Linked DNA regions of Cricetulus griseus. The protein of the gene in region 2 binds, or shares a complex with, the protein of the main gene of each other region. Links are inferred from orthologs where the notes say so. Each region holds a gene or a part of one and is shown on either strand. Other genes may lie near its edges.

The links. Proteins that work in one complex are often made in the same cells at the same time.
Region 1: the proteins of Naa50 (region 2) and Naa15 are in contact, whole or in part, in a cryo-EM structure (PDB 6PPL), measured with the Homo sapiens proteins. The link is inferred for Cricetulus griseus from reciprocal best matches to the Homo sapiens genes NAA50 and NAA15. Residues at the interface, in NP_079422.1 of Homo sapiens: Arg5, His14, Asn15, Lys17, Gln18, Arg21, Leu22, Val25, Phe51, Asn52, Ile54, Ala55, Leu80, Pro82, Tyr83, Leu86; in NP_476516.1 of Homo sapiens: Pro369, Pro370, Thr371, Leu374, Ser403, Thr404, Pro405, Thr406, Leu407, Ile408, Phe411, Glu433, Ala436, Leu437, Asp438, Thr439, Ala440.

What each region holds. Positions count from the first base shown.
Region 1 is NW_023276806.1:100,065,407-100,075,959, forward strand, and holds the start of Naa15 (N-alpha-acetyltransferase 15, NatA auxiliary subunit), read right to left. Parts: upstream 5,186-10,553; 5' UTR 5,043-5,185; coding exon 4,989-5,042; intron 1-4,988. UniProt on the Homo sapiens protein: Auxillary subunit of N-terminal acetyltransferase complexes which display alpha (N-terminal) acetyltransferase (NAT) activity. The NAT activity may be important for vascular, hematopoietic and neuronal growth and development.
Region 2 is NC_048597.1:46,265,862-46,276,414, reverse strand, and holds the start of Naa50 (N-alpha-acetyltransferase 50), read left to right. Parts: upstream 1-4,624; 5' UTR 4,625-4,811; exon of another isoform or gene 4,812-4,914; 5' UTR 4,915-4,932; coding exon 4,933-4,940; intron 4,941-10,553. UniProt on the Homo sapiens protein: N-alpha-acetyltransferase that acetylates the N-terminus of proteins that retain their initiating methionine. Has a broad substrate specificity: able to acetylate the initiator methionine of most peptides, except for those with a proline in second position.

The DNA.
Region 1 (10,553 bases), on a different chromosome or scaffold from region 2:
GATCTAGAGAGTGAGTTTTAGGACAGGCTACACAGAGAAACTCTGTTTGGAAAAATCAAATAGAATGATGGACAATTCTAGGACAATTCTCAAACTATTCTGTATCAGTATTTCTCAACCTGTGGGTCATGACCCCTTTGAGGATTGAATGACCCTTTCACGGAGGTTGCATAAGACCATCGGAAAATACAGATATTTACACTACAGTTCATAAAAGCAGCAAAATTACAGTTATGAAGGAAAATAATATGGTTGGGGAGCACCATCACATGAACAAAAAGGGTTGAAGCATTAGGATGATTGAGAACCACTGATTTAGATGAACAAACAGCAGGAAAGGTATGCAGAGGCTACAATTTTTTAAATGATTTAATTTTCTAAATATATTAAAATGATGTGAAATTTTAAAAGGACTGGTAAGCAACCAAGCAAAAATCTCACATAAAATAGAACACCAGTTAATCTTCTTTCTCTCTAGATGAACTAGAGACAAGAAATATTTTGCACATATTTTTAGCAATTTATAACAATGCTTAGTCAGAAAACAGCACTGTGGAGAAAGGGAGGGGCAAATATGTAACAAATATTATTGCAGGTATCAAACAAACTGAACTAAGTCAAGTAAATCCACTGTAGAAATTATGAAATTGTGCAAAGTGATACTATTACATGAGTTTACACTAAAATACTGAGCCAGAGACAGTTCATAATTCTGTGAAGCATGAACTGGCCCTATGTAAGTTTACTAAGTATGGAACACCACAACAAAAGGAGTGCTACCGTCAGCAACCTACCAACACTTGATTTTAGCACTGGAGTATGCCCAACTTTTCCTTTATCAGACAAGAAAAAGTGGGGGAAGAGAAAGCTTGAAAATCAAGAGAGCTCTCCAGAATTGTAGTGAATGCCTTCAATCCCAGCACTCAGAAGGCAGAGGCAGGTGGATCTCTGTAACTTTGAGGTCAGCCTTGTCTATACTGTGAGTTCCAGGACAAAAAACAAAAAACAAAAAAAAAAAAAAAAAATCAAGCAAGAGCTAACACTGTAAAAGCTGAAATTTTGAAACAAAACTATAATTTTGCTTGGTAACATTTTTTTCATTCCTAATGTCTGTCAACAATAAAAACATTGTATCTCTTTTTCTTCTTTCATTTAGAGATTTACACATTTTTCTTGTTTAAGTCTTATGGAAATAAATCTTTTAACTGGCTAGCAAAACCTTTCAGTGAATAAAAGTACTTGCCACCTAAAGATCTGAATTTCATGCCTGGGACCCACATGGTAGGAAGAGAACCAATTCTGGGAAACTGTTCTCTGACCCTTACATGTGTGTGTTGGCACGAAGGCACACATTCATACAAACACACAATAAAATTGCTTTATCCCCAGACTGATAGCTGGGAAACCAGCATGGGACTGTCCAGACCCCCTGAATATAGGTGTCAGTAAGGAGACCTTGGAAATCTATGGGGCCTCTTGTAATGGATCAGTACTTACTGCTACCATAGGAATGGACTTTAGGAGCCCATCCCACATGGAGGGATACTCCTTGAGTCTAGACACAAGGGGGTTGGCCTAGGCCCTATCCCAAAGAATATGACAGACTTTGAAGGCCCCCTATGGAAGGCCTCACCCTTCCTGGGTAGCAGAAAGGGTATAGGATGGGTAGGGTGTTAGTTGGGGGTGGGGGGAGGCGGAGGGGAGGGAGAGGGACCTGGGATTGACATGTAAAATAATTTTCTAATAAAAAGAAAAAATTGCTTTAAAATAATTAATCCTTTTGCACCGTGATTTTAGCAACAACATTAAAGATTTTTGTCCCACCATCACAACCAAGAACTGTAATTCCATAAATAGTTAAACAAACTCTACTAAATCTAAATCTACATTATAGCATATTACTTTGCAATAAAATATAACAGACTACTAATACAAGTGAAAACTTAGATGAACCACAAGGAAATCCTGCTGCACTAAAGAAATGCCAATCTGTAAGTTATATACACTCTATGAGTCTCTTTAGGAAACAGTCCTTTAAAATTACTTCAATAGGAGAAACACTAATCACAGTTGCTGGAGGGTGAGAGAAAAGGATGGGAAGGATATAGGTGGTTGTAGTTCTAAAAGGGCAAAACAGTGCTCCTTTGTGTTACTGTAGAACTATATTTTGACTGCAGACACAGAACCTACACATGTAATAGCTACTGTATAGAAATGAACACATATACAACTACAAATAAAACTTGGGAAATATGAATAAAATTGGTAGACATTATCAATGTTACAATCAACTATAAGATTTATAAGATATAATATTTGGAAAAGTAAGCAAAATATACAAAGAATATCTCAAACTACATTTGACTTTATAACTCTCTCAAAATAAGAGTAATTTTAGGGGAGGAGATATATACTACTCAGAGGTAGAGTATTTGCCCAGTATGTGCAACACCCTGGAGTCAACCCCAACATGTGCATATTACACAGAGGCACACACTTGATTGTGCCCAGAATGGTGGATCACACCTGCTATCCAAGTACTGGAAGGCTGAAGCAAAAGGAATACTAAGAAATGGGGGCCTGCCTGAAATATAGAGAAAGACTGAGCCTGGCGTGGTAGCCTACACCTTTAATCCCAGCACTCAGAGGCAGTGGATCTCTGACAGTTCAAGACCAGCCTGGTCTACAAATCGAGTTCCAGGACACACTCCAAAGTGACACAGAACCGGTCTCCAAAAACAGAAACAAAAACAAAAAACAATGAAAAGGTGTCACTAACAGTTGAAAAGCCTGAATTTTAGAAAAAAACTGTTAATGGTATTATAACTATACAGGGCCATGTCTTTATTTCTAAGGAGTGAAGCATAAGCATACAGTTTTCTTTTTTTCTATGTACGGAAAGAAAAAGTAATCTTGGCAATTTGTTAAATATCGGTAAAAGACAAATATTTTTCGATACTCTCGTTTTTTCAGAGATTCCCCCCCCCATCAGTATAAACAGAGGATGAGGGGGTTGGGAACATAGCTCTGCTTGTATTTAGCACAAGGTCCAACCTCCAGCATTATAAAAAAAGATAAAGAAAAATAAGGGGACAGGGGGTGGGTGGGTAAATGTTGCAAGAAAACTATGCTATAGTTCTACCTACACATCAGTCCTAAAATAATTGAGTGTAACTCCGCGGTAGATCACCTGCTTCGAATGCACAAAGCCTTCCAGCACAGAAATAACAGCAACTATTATTCTTCAGTGAATGAGACGACACAGTGAATGAAAACACTTGCTGCCAAATCTGGTTTATGTCTTTTTAATTTTTTTTTTTCCAGACAGACAGGGAAAAAGATGTCTCAGAACATAGGGGGGGAAACTATGCTACAATTCCACTTCAAATGGTATGAAAACAAAATACCACTAAATAGTATGTGACTATCGTTTTTCAACACAAATTCATTAATTTACAACATGGATATTTCTGTAAAATCAATTACCTCGACATAAATGGTTATTTAGGATTTATGTATTTTATGTGTTTGAGAGCTCTACTTGCATGTATGCCTGCACGCCAAAAGGGGGCATCAGATCCCATTATAGATGGTTATGAGTCACCATGTTGTTGCTGGGAATTAAACTCAAGACCTCTGGCTCTCAAGCAGTTGAGAGCCCAAGTGCTCTCAACTGCTGAGTTATTTAGAGAAAGAAAAAACAAACAAACAAACCCTAGATCTCCATATTTGTCAAACAAGTGAATTATAACTGCAAGCTAAAAGGCTAACACACACACACATACACGAATCTCTCCCTCTTCCCATTTTTTCTCTGTATAGCCCTGGTTTCTCTGTATAACTCTGTAGACCAAGCTGGCCTCGAACTCAAGAGATCCATTCACCTGCCTCTTCCTCTCCAGTGCCGGCATTACAGGTGTGAAACACCACCGCCATTCAAGTCTTAAAATTGGCAAATACAGTTCTTTCACAAAGAACTGTTTGTGTAAAAGAAGCGACTCATACACTAAATACCAAACAACAACAAAAGTGCTACAATGTATTAATGACAGCACCAAGACGACTGGGCATAGTTTACAATGTAAACAGCTTCAATCCAGTACCTCTGTAAGTATCACTGCATGCGTTTCTTATGCAAACTGCAAATATCTGAAACACAGAGCTAGCGTCAACAAGATCCATCTCAAAAGATTCTTATATCGTTTCGGCTAAGTTTTTGTATAGGTGTTTTTAAAACTTCACAGTCTTAAGTAAAGTACTTAAGTACTAGAACTTCCTACCGGACCGGACCGGACCGCCCCCTAGAAATGAGTCCCACCTCCGGAGAAGGATGGCGGGGTGGGGCAGGTTTGCTCTCAAACTAAGACATGGGTTTCCCCCACCCCACCCCTAAAAAGACGACCAGGGGCTGCGGGGTCAAGTATGCAAGCCACTACATGGAGTTTGCAGACTGCAAAGCTCCCTTCGCTTTTCCATCCTTGCCCCCTCTGGAGTCACGGTGACCCCGGCCGGGCGGGGACAGGTGAATCCCAGGTAGGGAGGAAGAGGGAGGGACGGGCCGTGGAGGGAGAAGCGCGTTCAAGCAATGAATGAGTCGGGCCTCAGCCACACCACCTGTTCCTTCCGAGGGTGCCACCCCGACCAGCCAGCAGGATCCCTGGCCCGAGTGGGCCCGTGCGGCCCGCTGTCCCGCTCAAGGCCAGGCTGCTCCTCCCTTCGCTCTAGGAGGGTAAAAGGCAGCCTTGTGGTAGCCCGAGAGTCGGGGCCTAGTCCGGAACCGAGGCCTCCGAAGCCCGCGGTACGCGGCGCGCGGACCGAGGTGGGCACCACCGGGGCGAGACGAAGGAGTGCGCTCTGCCGGCCCGCACTACCACGGCGGGGTCCCCCTCGGGGTGGCCCAGTGCCCGCCCGCCCGCCCGGGCTTGGAAGTGACAGGCCCGGCTCCCAGCGAGACGCTCCCCGCCGCCCGCCCGCAGCCTCACACTCACCAAGATCCGCTTGAAGAGCGCGTTCTCCTTGGGCGGGAGGCTCACGGCCGGCATGGTTCCGGCTCCTCCCGCGGCTCCCGCCACCGCCCGGCTCGGTCAGTCCGTTTGTCCGCCCGCCGCCGTTGCCGTTCTCAAGCTCGCTTCAGCCTTGAATCCGCTCCGCCGCCACTAGGCCTCGGGTGTCGCCGCGCCGCCCTGTCCTGACACCCCTTTCTCCTCTTTCTTTTTTTTTTTTCTTTTCCCCCCCTTTCTCACTTAACGCTGCCGCCACCTCCCCCCTCACGGGTCTCCGTCGGCGGTTCACGTGGTAACTGAAAAGACCGACAGAGGCAGCCAAAATGGCGGACGCCGAGGGCTTTCCCACCCGGGTCACACCTCCCAACGCGCAGGCGCGGTGACCCTCTCTCCCCACCCTCGCTGCACCGGAGCCTGCCGGGAACGCGGAGGCCGGCAGGGCCTGCGGAACGGCTGATTCTGGGTTGGCTCTGCCGGTCCTTCCAGTGCTCAGCTCCTGGGAGGGCAGCCAGCGGTGCTTCCGCCGCCTCTTCGTCGCAAACAGCCTTTTTGCTCCTCCTCGCTAAACCGGCCTTTCACTCATTGGGGTAGACTCGCCCAGGTGTTGTAATCGTAGCTTGAGCCTCAAATGCCAAAATGCCGACGGAGGTGTTTTAAGAAGATGTAGTCGTTCAAGGCCCAAGTGCCTATATTTGAGCAGAGGCGAAGGGTAAGATGAGAAAACCTTCGCCTAAGTGGGGACTTGTGAACCGATCCGAAGAGGTGAGGGCTTAATCGTCTTTGAAAAGCGTCAAAGAGCTTGACCTTTGAAATGGACTTGACTGGGTAGGGTATCTGTGGTTCTGTTGACTATGGTTAAGATAGCCAGGAAAGGTCGTTAGCCAGATTCGAAAAGGCATGTTTGTACTGCCAAAGGAGCCTTTGAAGGTTGAAGTATGTGTTTATTTCATTGCTGAAGTCATATAATGGGTTGAAGTAAGAGCTGTGTGAGTCACCTTGATGTAGTAGAGTCGAGGGTCGGAACTCCTGGAGTTGACTTCTAATTCATGCTTAGGATTGTAACTGTTGAACCACCTGTTACCAGAAGTCCTTAAACCTTAGAGGCCAAACTCCACTCAGCAAGATTAGGCCTGAAAGTGAAGAGGATCCCTCCCACCAGCAGACATTTCATTAACACTTGACAATAAAACCTTTACAGAGTGACATGCCATTGAGTCATAAGAGCCATTTTACCCTCAATTATCTCGTGCAGGCCTTGTAGTATTCTTTGCACCATGAATCATAAAGATGTGCAAGAGTTTGACATTTTTCAATCTTTCTTTTTTAAACACATACTTTGTGGTTTTCAAATTGTTCTTTAACTTCCCTAGTCTGCAGAATGAATTCTAGGACATCCAGGGCTACCCAGAGAAACCCTGTATCGAAAAAAACGAAAGATCGGGATTATAGAGGTCAAACCTTAGGGTCTCCTTGAATACTGTAATCTCTCGATAAAGATTTAGGAAAATTAGGTTGGTGAGATGGCATGGTGGGTAAAGGCTCTTACTATGCAAGCCTGACACCCGAGTTTGAACCCTGAACTCACATAAAGATGGAAAAAGAAAAAGGGCCCCACAAAGTTATTCTCTGCTCTCCATATTGTCACATATAAATAATAAATGAAGTTATGGGGCTGTCGAGATGGGGCTCATTGAGTAAGAACCCTGTTGCTCTTGCAGAGGACCTGGGTTGGGCCCCAGCACCTCTGAAGGCACCAGCTGTGCACAGGGCACACAGCAGGCAAAGTACTCATACATATAAAATAAAATTCAACACATACAAAGACATAGATAAATAGCTTTTCTTCGAGTGTGTGCTGTTGGAGCTCTAACCTGGTGCCTCATGCCTGCCAGACAAGCACTTCTACCATTGAGTTAGCTATACCCACAGCACTAGAAAACCAACTGTTTTTTTTTTTTTTTGAAATTGTACATACAATTTTTTAAGTTGTAATGTTTTATTAGCATGTTAATTATACACGATGTTTTTCATTATTTTCATATATGTACATGATATATTTCAATCTTATTCTCACTTATACATATCCCCCTTACCATCTCTTGTCTGCCTCTACTGCTGTCAATCCTCTTCCCACTAAATAGCAATTTTGTTTGTTTGTTGGTCTTGCTAAGTAGCCCAAGCTTACCCTGATCTCACTTCCTCCTCTGCTTTTTAAATGCTAGGATTGCAGACATAGTGCCCCATCCAAGTCTAAACAGCAGGGTTTTGGGTGGGGAGCTTTTGTTTGTTTTTATATAAAGATTTTTATTTTTATTCATGTTCGTGTGCAAGTGTGTGGATACTGTTACCCATAGAAGTCAGAAGAAAGTGTCATACCTTGAAGCTGGAGTTACAGTGGTTGTAAGCCACCAACTTGGATCCTCTGGAACAGCAGTGAGTTCTCTTAGCTGCTCAGCCATCTCTCCAGGCCCAAACAGCAGTTTTTAAGGTTCAGTGAATACTGGTCTGATTACAATATTGATCAGATTCGTTACTGAGTTAAAATGTGCCTACAAATAATAGTCTGACCACACAGTCAATGACATGATAGCCTGAACTCAGTAATAGATAAACTATAGACTCCAATCACTACTACTTGGCAAATAGAAATTGAATTGGATCATAATTGTGCATGACTTTATTTATAAATGAATGGGAAAAAAAAAGAAATTGGAGTTGGGCCTTGAGTGCTTCTTGTGCTTCTGGGAAGTTACAGCCAAGGTTGTATGGCACTGCAGCTGCTGAGGACCTTGCATCCTTCCCCATCACTGTGCTTAAAAGGCTTCCTCCTCCAGCTGGGTGTAATGGTGCACACATGGAATCCCAGTACTGAGCGACTAAGGCAGAAGGACTTCAAAACCATAGTAAAGCCCAGCACTCAGGAAGATTACCTTGTTTGGAAGACCAGAGGCCAGTTTACTTACATTTTATAGAAAAACAACATTAAAGGAACCTGCCACCCAGACTTAACAAAATAACAGCCACATTTTGGGATGTTTGTTTAATAAATGTTTGTTTAATAAAACTTATGTATACAAGAAGCCATCCTTCTTTAGGTTTTGTTCTTTACCCCCTCCCTTGGACACATCAGTCAAGTAAGATGTTTCCTCATGGAAAAATCCAGGGCTAAAACTTGTTTTCTAGGTGTTAAATCTCCCTTCACCTAGGTCACAAATCAGGATTTTAGCATTTAAATTCAGGATATGGTTTAAATAAATGTTTAAAAAGATGCCTACCAAACTAGAATAGCTATTAGCTCCCAGCTAGGTTCTTTTCAAAATGAGTTTCATCTTTAGCTGCTTCTTCCAACTCTAGGGGTCCAGTGAGCTCTAACATACTGAGAACGTTGTGCTCATACTTCATTGCTCTCCAAACTATACACTAGGAAAAGGACACAAGGATCAGAGTTCTGGAAAACAAAATGGACTTTCCCAGCATAGATCCTGAAGCTGGCAATGTGCTTACTGGTTCTGTACACTCTGACAAAAGGTAGCATCTGTTTCAACTTGTTGAAGACTAGCAAAAGCTGTGTCAGGACAAGCTCTGGCGGTGTGCTGTAGAAAGAGTATACAACTCTTGCTGAGTGGACAAGAAGCCAGTAAGTCAAGAGCCAACAACTGACTCAGCGCATTAGTAGGCTGGTTTGCTTACTTGAGCATGAGCCCAGGAGGCTCAGACTAGGTTACAAACTAAAGTAACTCAGGCTGTTAGTAACATGTTTAGCCACAATGCACAATGTCATTATTTTACCTTCTATTGGTAATTTACTTTCTTTTCCCCTCTTTTTTTTTTTAATACATGTATTTAGTGTGTATGTGTGTATATATGTGTGCTTGTCAGAGCACCCATCTGGAGGTCAAAAGAAAATTAGTAGAAGTCTATTCTCTCCTTCTATTAAATGGGACATAGCAATTGAACTCAAGTCATCAGGCTTGACAGTAGGTGCCCTGGTTTTGGCTTATCTTTCTGTACCCACCTTTTTTTTTTTTTTTTTTTTTTTCTAAGATAGGGTCTCATATTAGCCCAGGCTGGTCTGGGACTTACTATGAAACTCAAACTTCTATCAAAATAGAGTCACTCCTGCCTCTGCTTCCCAAGACCTGGGATTAGACATGAGCCACCACACTCTGCTAATGACTTTTTGTTTTACTAAAAAGATTTTAAAATAATATTGCTAAAACTACTAACACTAATACTAATACTAACTAAAGGAAAATGCTAACACTTATTTTGCTATTAAAGTAGACCTAAACAGCTTTAGTTTTAACAAATGGCTTTTAAGGGTAAGTTTGTATCTTCTGCAGGCTGGAGAGATAGCTCAATGGTTAAGCCAGCTTACTCCCCTAGCAAAGACCTGGGTTTGGTTCCCAGCACACACCAGTTGGCTCACAGACATCTATAACTCCGGCTTCAAGGAATACAATGCTCTCCTCTGATCTCCAAGGGGAGCTTCATTCATATACCCCACCATCATATGAACATATTATTAAAAATAATAAAATCTTATCAAATCAAAAAGAATGTATCATCTATTACCAATAGTTTTTAAAACATGGTCTTTGGATACCAGTGAAACAGAATCTGTCAATTGTGCAACATAAAAAAGAGCTGATCATGCACTAGAGAGAAGGCTCAGCAAGTAAGAGTGCTTGTTGCTCTTACAGATGACCTGGGTTTGTTTCCTGGCACCCAGAGCACACTGGACAACTCAGAGCTGCCTATAACTACAGTACCGGGGGATCCAGTGCCCTCTTCTGACCTCCATGGGCAGTTGCAGGCACCATCATGCACTTGACAAACAGGCACGAACACAGACATAAAAATAAAAATGTTTAAATCAGCTGATCAGTCAGGTTGATCCAATGCCTCTGACCTTCATTGTCACCTTCCAAACACACACACACACACACACACACACACACTTATCACAATGTGAGCCTACACATAAAAATTACAAAGGTAAAAAACAAAACAGCTGATTAGTACAATGTGTCGAATAGGCAAACGTATTTACTACTCCCAGATAACTCCTAAGCTTCCCAACAAACCCTACAGGATAGGTTTTATGTTACAGTTGTGAAACTGTGGTAAGATTAACGACTAAAAATCATAGTGTTGACATATAGTGGACACAAATGATACTTGAGACACGATGGTTTGGATCCTGTTCTACATAGACACATGGCATTATAGCCAGTCCCACCTTGTTAGGTCAGCTAACTGGATCCCTTTGCCATCTGGATGCCCCTCCTGAGCCAGTCAGGGCACTTTCATGTAACATCTACAAGAATTTTACTAGGGCCTGGTGGAAAGGTCTTATAACCCCAGCTCCTCAAGAGGCTGAGGCAGGAGGATCAAATTCATGGCCACCTGCGTAACTTAGTGAGCCCCTATCTCAAAAACTATGTAGGGAGTTGTAGCTCAGTGGTAAGGCACTTGCCTAGGATGTAGGAAGCCCTGTATTGCCTCCCTAGTAAATAGCAGAATTCTATCTCACAGGATTGAGAGGCA
Region 2 (10,553 bases):
AAGAATTTCTGCTGGTGTGGTGGCATAACGCCAGCACTTAGGAGTGAGACAGGAGAATGACCATGTTGAAGGCCAGTCTTGGCCTCCATTAAAAAAAAAAAGTTTATAAAGTGTGTACTAGACACAGTATACTCATGATCTACTTTAATAATACCTATGGGCTAGATTTAAACATAAGGAGACTTGATTTTCAGTGCCCAAGGTCAGACAGCTAATAACAGGGGAGGCTAAAACCTAATTCCAGGTTTCTGTGATTGGGCCATCTACTCAGGTAACATTTGAATTGTATTGTTTTACTCTCACATCTAGTTTTAAAACTGCTTTCAAATAGAATATGTAAGGTTATCTCATTCAACTTACAATACCCTGGGGAGGAAAGTTTCTGGGTACAGAACCCTGAAACTGCCAGCATGAGCTGCACTCAAAAGGTCATGTGACTAAGACAGAGCCGCTGAATGAAGATCCTCTAACTTTAGTGTTAAACCACTTGTAGTTTATGTAGAGCCATTTTTCCCCATTTAGGACAACTATCTCTGTCCTCTCCTACTGAATGATAACCACAGATCTTATCAGTAAACATAACACATTGTGGAAGTAAGTTAGTAACTGTATTAATAAAGTCCATGCATGGTTTATGTCTATTCCATTTAGTGTTTGGAAACTTGCATTAAAAAGTCAATACTTAATAAACAACCTCAGAAGGAACTACAATCTGTGAGGCTTGAAGTGGTTTTATTTCCTTGTTAATTGCTCAACACTTATTCAGTAAACAACCTATCAGGGACCTCACTCAGCATTTTGTGTGCTTGGACAAGTCCTTATCCACGTCAGCATCCTTGTGGAGAAGACACAATAAGGACACTATCCTTTAACTGAAGGGAGGTTTACAGCTTACTGAGGAATACACCAGCTAATAGAAATAATCTGTAAGTAAAAATAAAGGAAATAATAGAAAATATTGTGTAGTAGCCTAAGGGACAGACTGGCTACCTTGGCCCAAAGGGGAAGAATACTTTTCCAATGTCGATGATACCCTATAAAGACAGTGAAACTAAGAAAGACCTCATAGTGGAAAAAAAAATCAAAGGATGTTGGGGCCCCAACCTTTACATATTACTTAATGGAGGACTTATTCCCCAAATAAATTTCTGCATATAAATCTCTCCCTCCCTTTTGAAACATGGTCTCACTGCTCTAGCTGGCCTAGAACTCTTTATAGACCAGGCTGGCCTTCAAGTCACAGAGATCCGCCAGGCTCTGCCTCCCATTGCTGGGATTGCAGGCATGCACCACCACACCCAGAGACACACAAAAATGTGATATACTATACAGTATCAGAAATACCTTCCAATGCTCAAATCATCTATTTGTATACATATAATGTCAAACATTTTTTTCACATTTATTCTTCATTGTCACTGATTTCCTGCTGCTAATCTTCCACGTTTCATCAGTAGTCTAAGTTACTACTTTCACGAGTTCCCTAAAATTGAAGCAATTAATTGTGACATAAAACTGCAGACTCATCCAATCTCTTTCTTATGAATTTCTCCTCCTGTAGTACTCAGTACTTTTAAACTGGTTTCCTCTAGTCCATTTTGGTGCACCTGCACAGAACTGGTTTGGACTTCCAAAGCACTTAGGAATTCTGTTTATTTGGTGGAATGTCACATGGGCAGGAAACCAAAACCATTTTTTCCCTCTCCTCAAGAGATCAGGGAAGCTCACTCTTGAGAAAAACAACGGCTAATACTGTATTTCAGGAGATGGCTCAGTCATTAAAGTGCTTGCTTTGCAAGCATGAAAATCCAGGTTTGGCTCCCCAGCATGCATTCAAAAGTCAAGTATGTTGGTGCTCCTTTATCCTCATTGCTCAGGGGCAAATGGAGACAGAAGGATGCCTGGGGCTTGCTGAATCAGTGAGCTAACCTACCTTTAAAAAAAAGGAGTGGGGGAGAATGGAGGAAGACACTTCTGGGAGGCACACACATGCAAATAAAAATGACAACAAGTGAATGGCTGAGCCAACTGTGGTGTTATCCATACCACAGAATAATGATTAGCAATGAAAAGGAACAAACTATTTAAGAACCTATATTTATGCTTGTTATATAAACCTATCAATAGCTATTGTGGATCACAAAATGGTAAAATTGTAAATATGAATACAAAAACCAGTATGATTTTTCTGGGCAGTGCAAGATATTTTTTGTAAGAAGTTATCAAATAGGCCAACCTTTCTATTTTGTTAAATTGCTATCATTACTTTAGCTTGCAGCTCTCATTAACAAATAAGATCATGTAATTTCAGAAAACGTGGGAGGGGAAAAATTCAGTCTGACAAATCACTAGAAGATAATCATTCCATCTTTTTCCTTTTAACTTTCAAGTTCAGAAGACTAGATCTAAAGCCTCAAGCATTCATGGAGGTAAGAACCATATTCCCAGTCCTCAGCAGATTTTAAAAAGTAAATTCTTCAATTACATTGCTTAGAACTAAGATTTAACTAAAAACATGAAACCATATAAGAAAATGTATAAAAGTCAAATGTGTAATTTAAAACAAGGAACTTTCTAAGTTTGCAGAATAAATAAATGAGTTTAGCCACAAACTGAAAAACATTCCTTTCCTAAAGCTCATTGTTTGATATCAAAACAGTGGCTACTACAGTGCATATAAAATGGGAGTACAAAGGGTTGGGCAACTCTACGGCAAAAGAATTCCTGTATTTTCACAATATATTATACACCCAAATCAGAAGAGGTCACTTCATTTTTTTTTTTTTGCAAATGCAAAAGCTAATTAAAAACACACTCCACAAATTTAAACTGGCCAAGGAATTGACTGGGAGGGACAATTATGTAGGATTTAAAGAAAAAAAAAATGCCCAAAAGGGGAAGGATGCCACAGACATCACAGAAAATACCAAGTCAGTAATATCTAGGCTTAACCTTCCTGCTTTTAAATTATAGCCAAATGAATTTGGATTAATTATATTTTCAGCTTGATCAATTTCGGAAGAATTACTTCCCTTTCGGGAAAACCTCGTCACTTTCCCATAAGCTAGCCTAGGTCTCCAGCCCAACCAGGCAACACCATCTTTCATTGCCTTCTCATTCAACTGTCGCATTACCAAACACCCTGTTCTGAAGACAGTACCACGGCCTTCTCTCCGAAAAGAAAAGGCTGTAAGCCCTGCTCTTGCCCTTCCAGTCTCATCCGGAGCAAGTGAACACTCATTGAACCTCTCTGCAGGGATGTCCGATAAGACCCTTAGAATCACCGAGAATGCACATTCGTAGGGCAGTTCTTCAGTGACTCTGCAGTGAGGGCCGTATCAGTGACATTCCCTCCCAAGCCCGTCTCACCGGAGACGCCTCTGCCTCCAGGGGGTTCTCCTATCTTCCTGCTCATCCGGACGAAGGCCTTTGCCAGGGGAAGGAGCTCTGGGGAATGGGACCTGGAGGTGGTTGCAAACCCGGAGTAATGGCTAAAGCAATCCTACCACCTGAAGCCCCAACGACTCCAAATAGGGAACCGTAATGGCCGCACTCGCTCTCAACCCAGGCAAAGGTGGGCATCTTAATCCCTCGCCAGTGGACTTCGGGGACGAGCCAGGGGTCCAGAATGTAGATCTGGAGAAAAGAGCTACCAACCAGCCAGTGCAGGATGACAACGGGGAAGGAGCCCCAGCACCGCAGGCCGCCGCTCGCACTCCCCAGTCCCCATCTCCTCTCTCCCCGTCAATCGTCCCCACCAGTCGCCGGTTACCTGTCGCACCTGACCCGCCGGGGCGCGAAGAGCAGAATCAGTACCTACACGGGACCCAGAGGCTCTGTCACTGAGGGAGGGGAAGACTTCAGCTGCAAGGGGCGGGTCGTCCTGGTCATGTGACCTCAAGCTCCACCCTGCTTCTCCTCCCCAGCCACGCCGCCTCTCGCCAGTCTTGAATCCTAGCAGGTCGCTTGGATGTGAATGGTTGCGTGGCTAATGAACGAGTTAGGTCCTTTTTTCGCTATGACTGGGTTATAAACTGCAGCACAGAAAACGAGGACGGCAAGGGTTAAAGTGCATTGCTAAGGAAGTGACGTTAAGTCACGCTCTAGGGGCCGGAAGTGGCGATGGAGTCCCGCCTCTCTCAGTCCCGAGTTAAAATCCTGGCTGGAAAGCTTCAGCCTATCACGTGATTAAAAAAAAAAAACAAAACCGTGGTTTGCCTGCTGGAAGATAGCCAAGTTATCCGGGCCCCTCGTTACCTTTTGGTTTTTAAAACACATTTACTGCAGGTCTCCACAGGCTTCTCCTACATCGAGAAGAACCCGTTTTATAAAAGCCTATCGGGCGACAAGAGCGTTTGAAGGTCACTGGAGAGGGGCGCGGGAAAGACCGATCTTGCAGATCTGAGAGCAGTGAGGGAAGGGCGGAAGGATCCGGATTTTACCGCCGGAGCCTACCGGGCAAGCTCGGCGGGAGTGTCGCAAAGGGTGGGCGGAGCTAGCCCCCCGGAGGCCCAGCCCAGGGCAAAGGGGGGGAAGTCCTGGGGGGGAGGGGCGCGCGGCACGGAGCACTGCGGCTGCGCGCGACGCGGCGGCCGCGCCGGCGCGCTGAGGGGGCGGGGTGAAAGGTCACAGCGCGGCGGCGGGTCTGGCTGGCGGCAGCTGCGGGCGGGAGCGGAGTGTCCCGTGTGCACGTGTGGAGGAGCGGCGGCGGCGGCGGCAGCAGCGCGGCGGCGACAGATCTTCCCGCGTCTCCCCGGAGCTTCGGGGCCCGGCTCGGCTTTCGTGGCCTCCTTGGCCCCTCGGCGCCCTTCCCTCAGCCAAGAGGCCGGCGTGTGGGGTTGAGTGGCCTGAGCTCAGGGCGCGGAGAGCTCCCGGCGGCGAGGACGACGGCGTTGGTCGCGGCTGTAACGACGGCCTCAGCAGGCGGGGAAGATGAAAGGGTGAGGAAGGAAGGAAGGGAGGGAGGGAGGGAGGGCAGCCGGCGGGGGCCCGGCGGGCAGGGGAGAGGGGCGTGGGCCGGTGGACCCGGAGAGCGCCGCGAGGAGAGACTCGCGCCAAGACCGGGCCTCCGGAGGGACCTTGCCAGGCTCCTCGGTCACCCCACTCCGGGAGGGGGGCGGAGGCTAGGCCGGCTGTTGGCGGGCTGAAGGGCCTGCGGAGGCAGGGGCGCGAGTCCACGAATCCAGCCCAGAGAACGAGTGTGCACCGAGTGGGACAGCCGGGAGGAGGTATGGTAGGCGCCCGGGGCCTTTTCCCGGGAGCGCACGGCCGAGCCGCCTCAGGTGCTCATCGGTCTCCAGGATCCACGCTGTGGCTGCGAGCTTTGACACGTTTCTGGTTTCTTCCTACTTGTGGACTGTGCAGAACCTTCTGGAGGGAAAAGGAATTGGAATAAAGAGCATGGGGATGAGTGTTAGGAGCTAGTGACTCAACGAGATTTGGGTTGGGTCAGAGCGAGTGGAGGAGGGAGGGGGAACGAACTCAAGCCGCGTAGACTTTGGGGTGCCAAAATGTTTAAGGAAGTATCCGGGATCAGTAGGTGGAGCTATTGCTTCAAGAGAGTTTTGCCCCCTGAGTGCAAAGAGGAGTGTTTTGGCTGCTCGTTCGAAAAGTTGAGGTTTGGTCTTTGAAATCTTGGGTAGCATTAGACGTTATTTTTGTTTAACTGTTCCCGTTTGGGAAAAAGTATTTCCCTTCCATGGATTTATAAACTGTTACAGTATTAACACCGCGCTAACACATTGCTTAGGCAAGCTGTTTTTGAGGTTGCCTTTACAGTCCTTTAGAAAAAGAAATGGAAGCTTAAGCTTGCAAAACTTTTTTGAAATACCGTAAGGATTTTTCTAAGTCAGCTGAAAATTTGAACTATTGTTTCAGTTAGTTAAACTATTTATTCAGCATCCTTTTTGGAGAACGAAATATATCGTCTTGTGTAAAAGAAAGGTCACATTATCTTTAACTCCATGTTCTGAGAAAGCTTAATTTGATTCTAAGTCTACATATAAAATACTTTTTTACTCTGGTTTTGCTTTAGATGTTGGTTATTTGTTGGATTTTTGGGGATGTTTACAGCACTCTAGAGTCACGATGCAGAACGTTTGGCTAATTTTTAAAAATGTGATCCAGTTATCTTTAGGAGGTTTTATTTTTCTAGTAGAGTATGGCTTTGATACTGTCTTTCTCTTTTCTTTTTCTTACTCATTGATACTCAATACATTTTTGTCATGTTCTGTTATAGTAATAGCAATAAAGATAATGCATCTAAGAATTTATTCTGGTTTAGATTTAAAAAATCTTGGATCTAGTTCAGTTCTTAGGTGTAGGATGCAATCTTTCTGATACTTAATTTGACAGAAATGTAGAACACTGGCATTATTGGCAATCTATTCGAACTCGCATTTAGTATATTGTTGAAGCAGCTGTATCCTATTAAGTTCTGGGAACTGAAGGAAAGCACTCTGCCACTGAGGTATATATAACCCTAGCACTTTATTTTGAGATAGGGTCCCACTAAGTTAGTCAGGCTGGCCTTGCACTTGGCAACAATACTTTTGGCCTCATGCAGCCTTTTAGTATTGCAAACTTGAGCCACCAGTACCAGCTGGTTCTGTTTACTTAAACAGATACTCTGTGTAACATAATTAATGGAGGCAAATGCCTAAAGGTGAGGAAATGGGCAAATTTAGAGAAAACTTACAGCTGACTCCATAGTTTGGGCAAGTAAGCATGCTCAAAATTAAGATTCTTTAAGTAAGGTTTTTATTTCTTAGAATTGGGAGCTTAGACAATTTCAAGGTGATTTCACAGGTGTGAGTCTTTAATTTTCCACAACTAACTCCCAGTAAACATGGAACTTTATTTTCCTCTTTCTTCCTTTAAAGGTACTAAAGAAATGAAATCAGAGTGTAGTGCACTTTTGGTTTTTAAATGTTTGTTTTAAGGTGTTAAATGTCCTTGAGATGCAAAACCACTATATGTTCAGTCTCCTGACTTCATTGGAAAGGCCTGTGAAAAGAAGTGGTCCTGTTTCATAGTTTTTGGACTTTGCTGTTGTTGTTGTTTTTTCTTTTATTTCATAGGGTTGTTTTTTGTTGTTGTTGTTGTTGTTGTTCATTTGTTTATTTTGGGGTTCCCCATCCCCACCCCGAGACAGGTCTCTCTGTGTATCTTTGGGGCCTGTCTCACCATAGACAAAGGTGGCCTCGAACTCAGAGATCCAACTGCCTCTGCCTCTTGAGTGCTGGGATCAATCAAAGGCGTTCACCACCACTGCCCAGTATTTCATAGTTCTGATGTGGAATTTTATTTGGTAATTTTTAAATTTTTTTCAGTTAAGTAGATGACTGAAGTTGGAAGCCAAAAAACCCCTTCTGTGATGTAATCTATGATTTAAATTTTCGGTGTTGAAACTTCTTAAAATTACTATTTTAAATATTTTATTTCATATTTTTTACTGTTAGTAGTTTTATTGATAACAGCAGTAGGAGGGTATCCTGTTAAATCATGTGTTTTCATTATTTCTATAGTAGATAAATTTGCGATTAATAACTATTTTTAAATGCATGTGACAAGTATATTAAGTTATTGGCTATTTCAACTGAGGTTTCCTTTTTTATTTTTTTAATGGTTTCTTTTTATTTCTTATATGCATTGGTGTTTTTCCTTGCATGAATGTCTGTGTGAGGGTGTTGAATCTCATGGAACCACAGTTACAGACAGTTGTGAGCTGGCGTGTGAGTCTTGGGGATAGAACTAGGGTCCTCTGGAAGAGCAACCAGTGCTTTTAACCTCTGGACCATCTCTCCAGCCCCTCAACTGAGGTTTCTTGTTTTTATGAACAAAGGGCATTGTGGCTTGAATTTGTGGTTGGTAAGGTAATTGCGATTATCTGTTATTCCTCCCCAGGGAAAATGATATTTAGGCAAGAAGAATGCCATAGATAGCAATGGCTGGAGTGGCAGTGCAATTAGTTATCTGTAATCGAAAATAATAATAATTTCATTTATCCTTTAATTATAATAAAAGATGCAAATTAGTTCTAATAAAACTGCCTTTGAACAAGATAGGAATACTGAAGTGACCAAAGGTAGGTAGGAATAATATTAAATACAGACCAGTGTGGTTACTAATTCAAACTTGGCCAAATGTTAGTTACTGAGTGGAACAAAAGATTCTGCAGTTAGAAGTGAAACCATGTTAACAAGTATGGAATAATGGTTATCTTCAATAGTATATGGACTGGGAACAGGCCCAGGAAGTTTCTGTATCTTTAGGTGTTGATTACATGGAAAATAGGTATGTTCTTTTTTTTTTTTTTTTTAACTAAATTGTAAACAAGATTTGTGCTTTGTTTTTTTGTGGGTTTTTTTGTTTGTTTGTTTGTTTTGATTTGATTTGATTTTTCGAGACAGGGTTCCTCTGTGGCTTTGGAGGCTATCCTGCAGACCAAGCTGGTCTCCAACTCACAGAGATCCGCCTGCCTCTGCCTCCTAAGTGCTGGGTTTGAAGGTGTGCTCTCCACCACCATCTGGCAATTTGAGATGGTTTTGGTCCCTAACCTTCACATCCATCTGCCTCCTCCTCTCCTATAGCTGTTTGGTACTAAGCCTGCTTACAAAATGTATCTTGTATACCAATAAAATTGGCTGTAGAATCCAACTAGAAACAATGCAATACATGTTTCGCTTTTTGTGTAAAACCAGTAATTTGTGACTTATTAAGATAGTGAATTTTAATAAGTACTGTGTAATGTCTCCTTTGCTATGCTGAGAGTTTTGAAATGTCTGAAGTATAATTGTGACTTTGAATTGGCATGGTATTGCTGTAGTGATCTCTTCTTTCCCAAATTTGTGGACAACTTTTACTAAAGCTGCTACAAATAAATAAATAAATAAATAAATAAGCAAGCAAACATAAGTAGATAAATAAAGGTTTCTATGAGTTTAGGGGTTATGTTCAGTTGATATAGTACTTGCCTAGTATGCATGAAATGCCAGCACTGAATAAACTGGACATGGTGGTGCACACTGTTTTTCCAGCACTAGGAGGCAGAGACCAAGTATCAGAAGTTCAAGGTTACATAGTAAGTTCAATGCCAGCTTGGGATACATGAGACACTGTCTTGAAAAGTTTCTATGTTTAAGAATTGTTAAGGGTCATCCAGGAGACTAAGTGCTTACATGCTTTTCCTGTTTTATCATAATACTTTGAATAAATTATATGTTCTTGTTCTCAAAATTTGTAGCCAAACTTTAATTATTACATCTTGTCAGTGCTCTTTCCAGATAAAAGTAATTAATACTTATTTAAGTTTCACCTTGCTGTATTGCCCTTTAGAAATCTTGATTTTTGTTCTTCAGGCATTAATTATAGCTTTCAATTTTTGTGGCATTTGAGGAGGCATTTTTTTTTAAGATTTTATTTATTTATTATGTATACAACATTCTGCTTCTATATATATCTGCACACCAGAAGAGGGCCACCATGTGGTTGCTGGGAATTGAACTCAGGACCTCTGGAAGAGCAGTTGGTGCTCTTAACCTCTGAGCCATCTCTCCAGCCCCCGAAGAGGCATTTTCAATTATTCAAATTTCCTTCATCTTTGTTTTGAGCCTAGTCTTCAGTAACCAGTAGAATACTCATGTAACTATAGAGCACTTTTTATTCTAAAATTGTGGTTTAAACTACAGAATTATAACATAGTAGTGCTATTATTCCTCCTTTTGATTTTCTTTTTTGTTGTTGTTTTTGTTTTTCGAGACAGGGTTTCTCTGTGGCTTTTGGAGGCTGTCCTCGAACTCAACAAAGATCCACCTGCCTCTGCCTCCCGAGTGCTGGGGTTAAAGGCGTGTGCCACCACATCCTAGTATAAGTCCATTATTTTAATAAATAAAATTTACTGTAACAAATCGCATTTAATTAGAAGCAACTAAGTACCACAAATGATAGGTAGCAATAGAGTATTTTAAAATACATTTCCTGTCTTTCTTGTGGTTTTGTTGACTGTCTGTAGGAATAGCTTGAGCCTTATGAATGATAGCAGTCCTGGATGCAAATTCTAAATTATGTTGGTAGCTGATGGATTTTCTTGTTACAAAAAGATTATTCAGACATACTGTGACTGCAATAGCATAAAATTCCATTTGCCGTTTCTGCTCATGATCAGCACTCTATGATCCCAAGAAATAAAGTAGTAGAATCACATTTCAATTATTGTCTTTGAATTTAATGTCTTCAGTTTGTTGTTTGGCCTGTCCTCTCTTCTGTCTCCTCAGGATACTCTATATTTAATAACACTCACTAGGCCAAACAAGAAATTCTAATTTAATCTTCGCACTGTTTCAGTAAGGTTGTTGTATCTGTACTTGATTGTTGAAAAAAAGGTACATAAGCCAAGAAGGGAAGGGCTTACTTGTTTCTGAGATTTTAAACAGTTTTGTAGAGCAAGAAGTTGGAGGCTGAGGCTAGATCAGTGGCCATCAATCACCAGGAATGGCTTTATTGTATTCATGTAATGCCAGGATGTTTTAATTTCACTTGTAAGACTTAAGTAC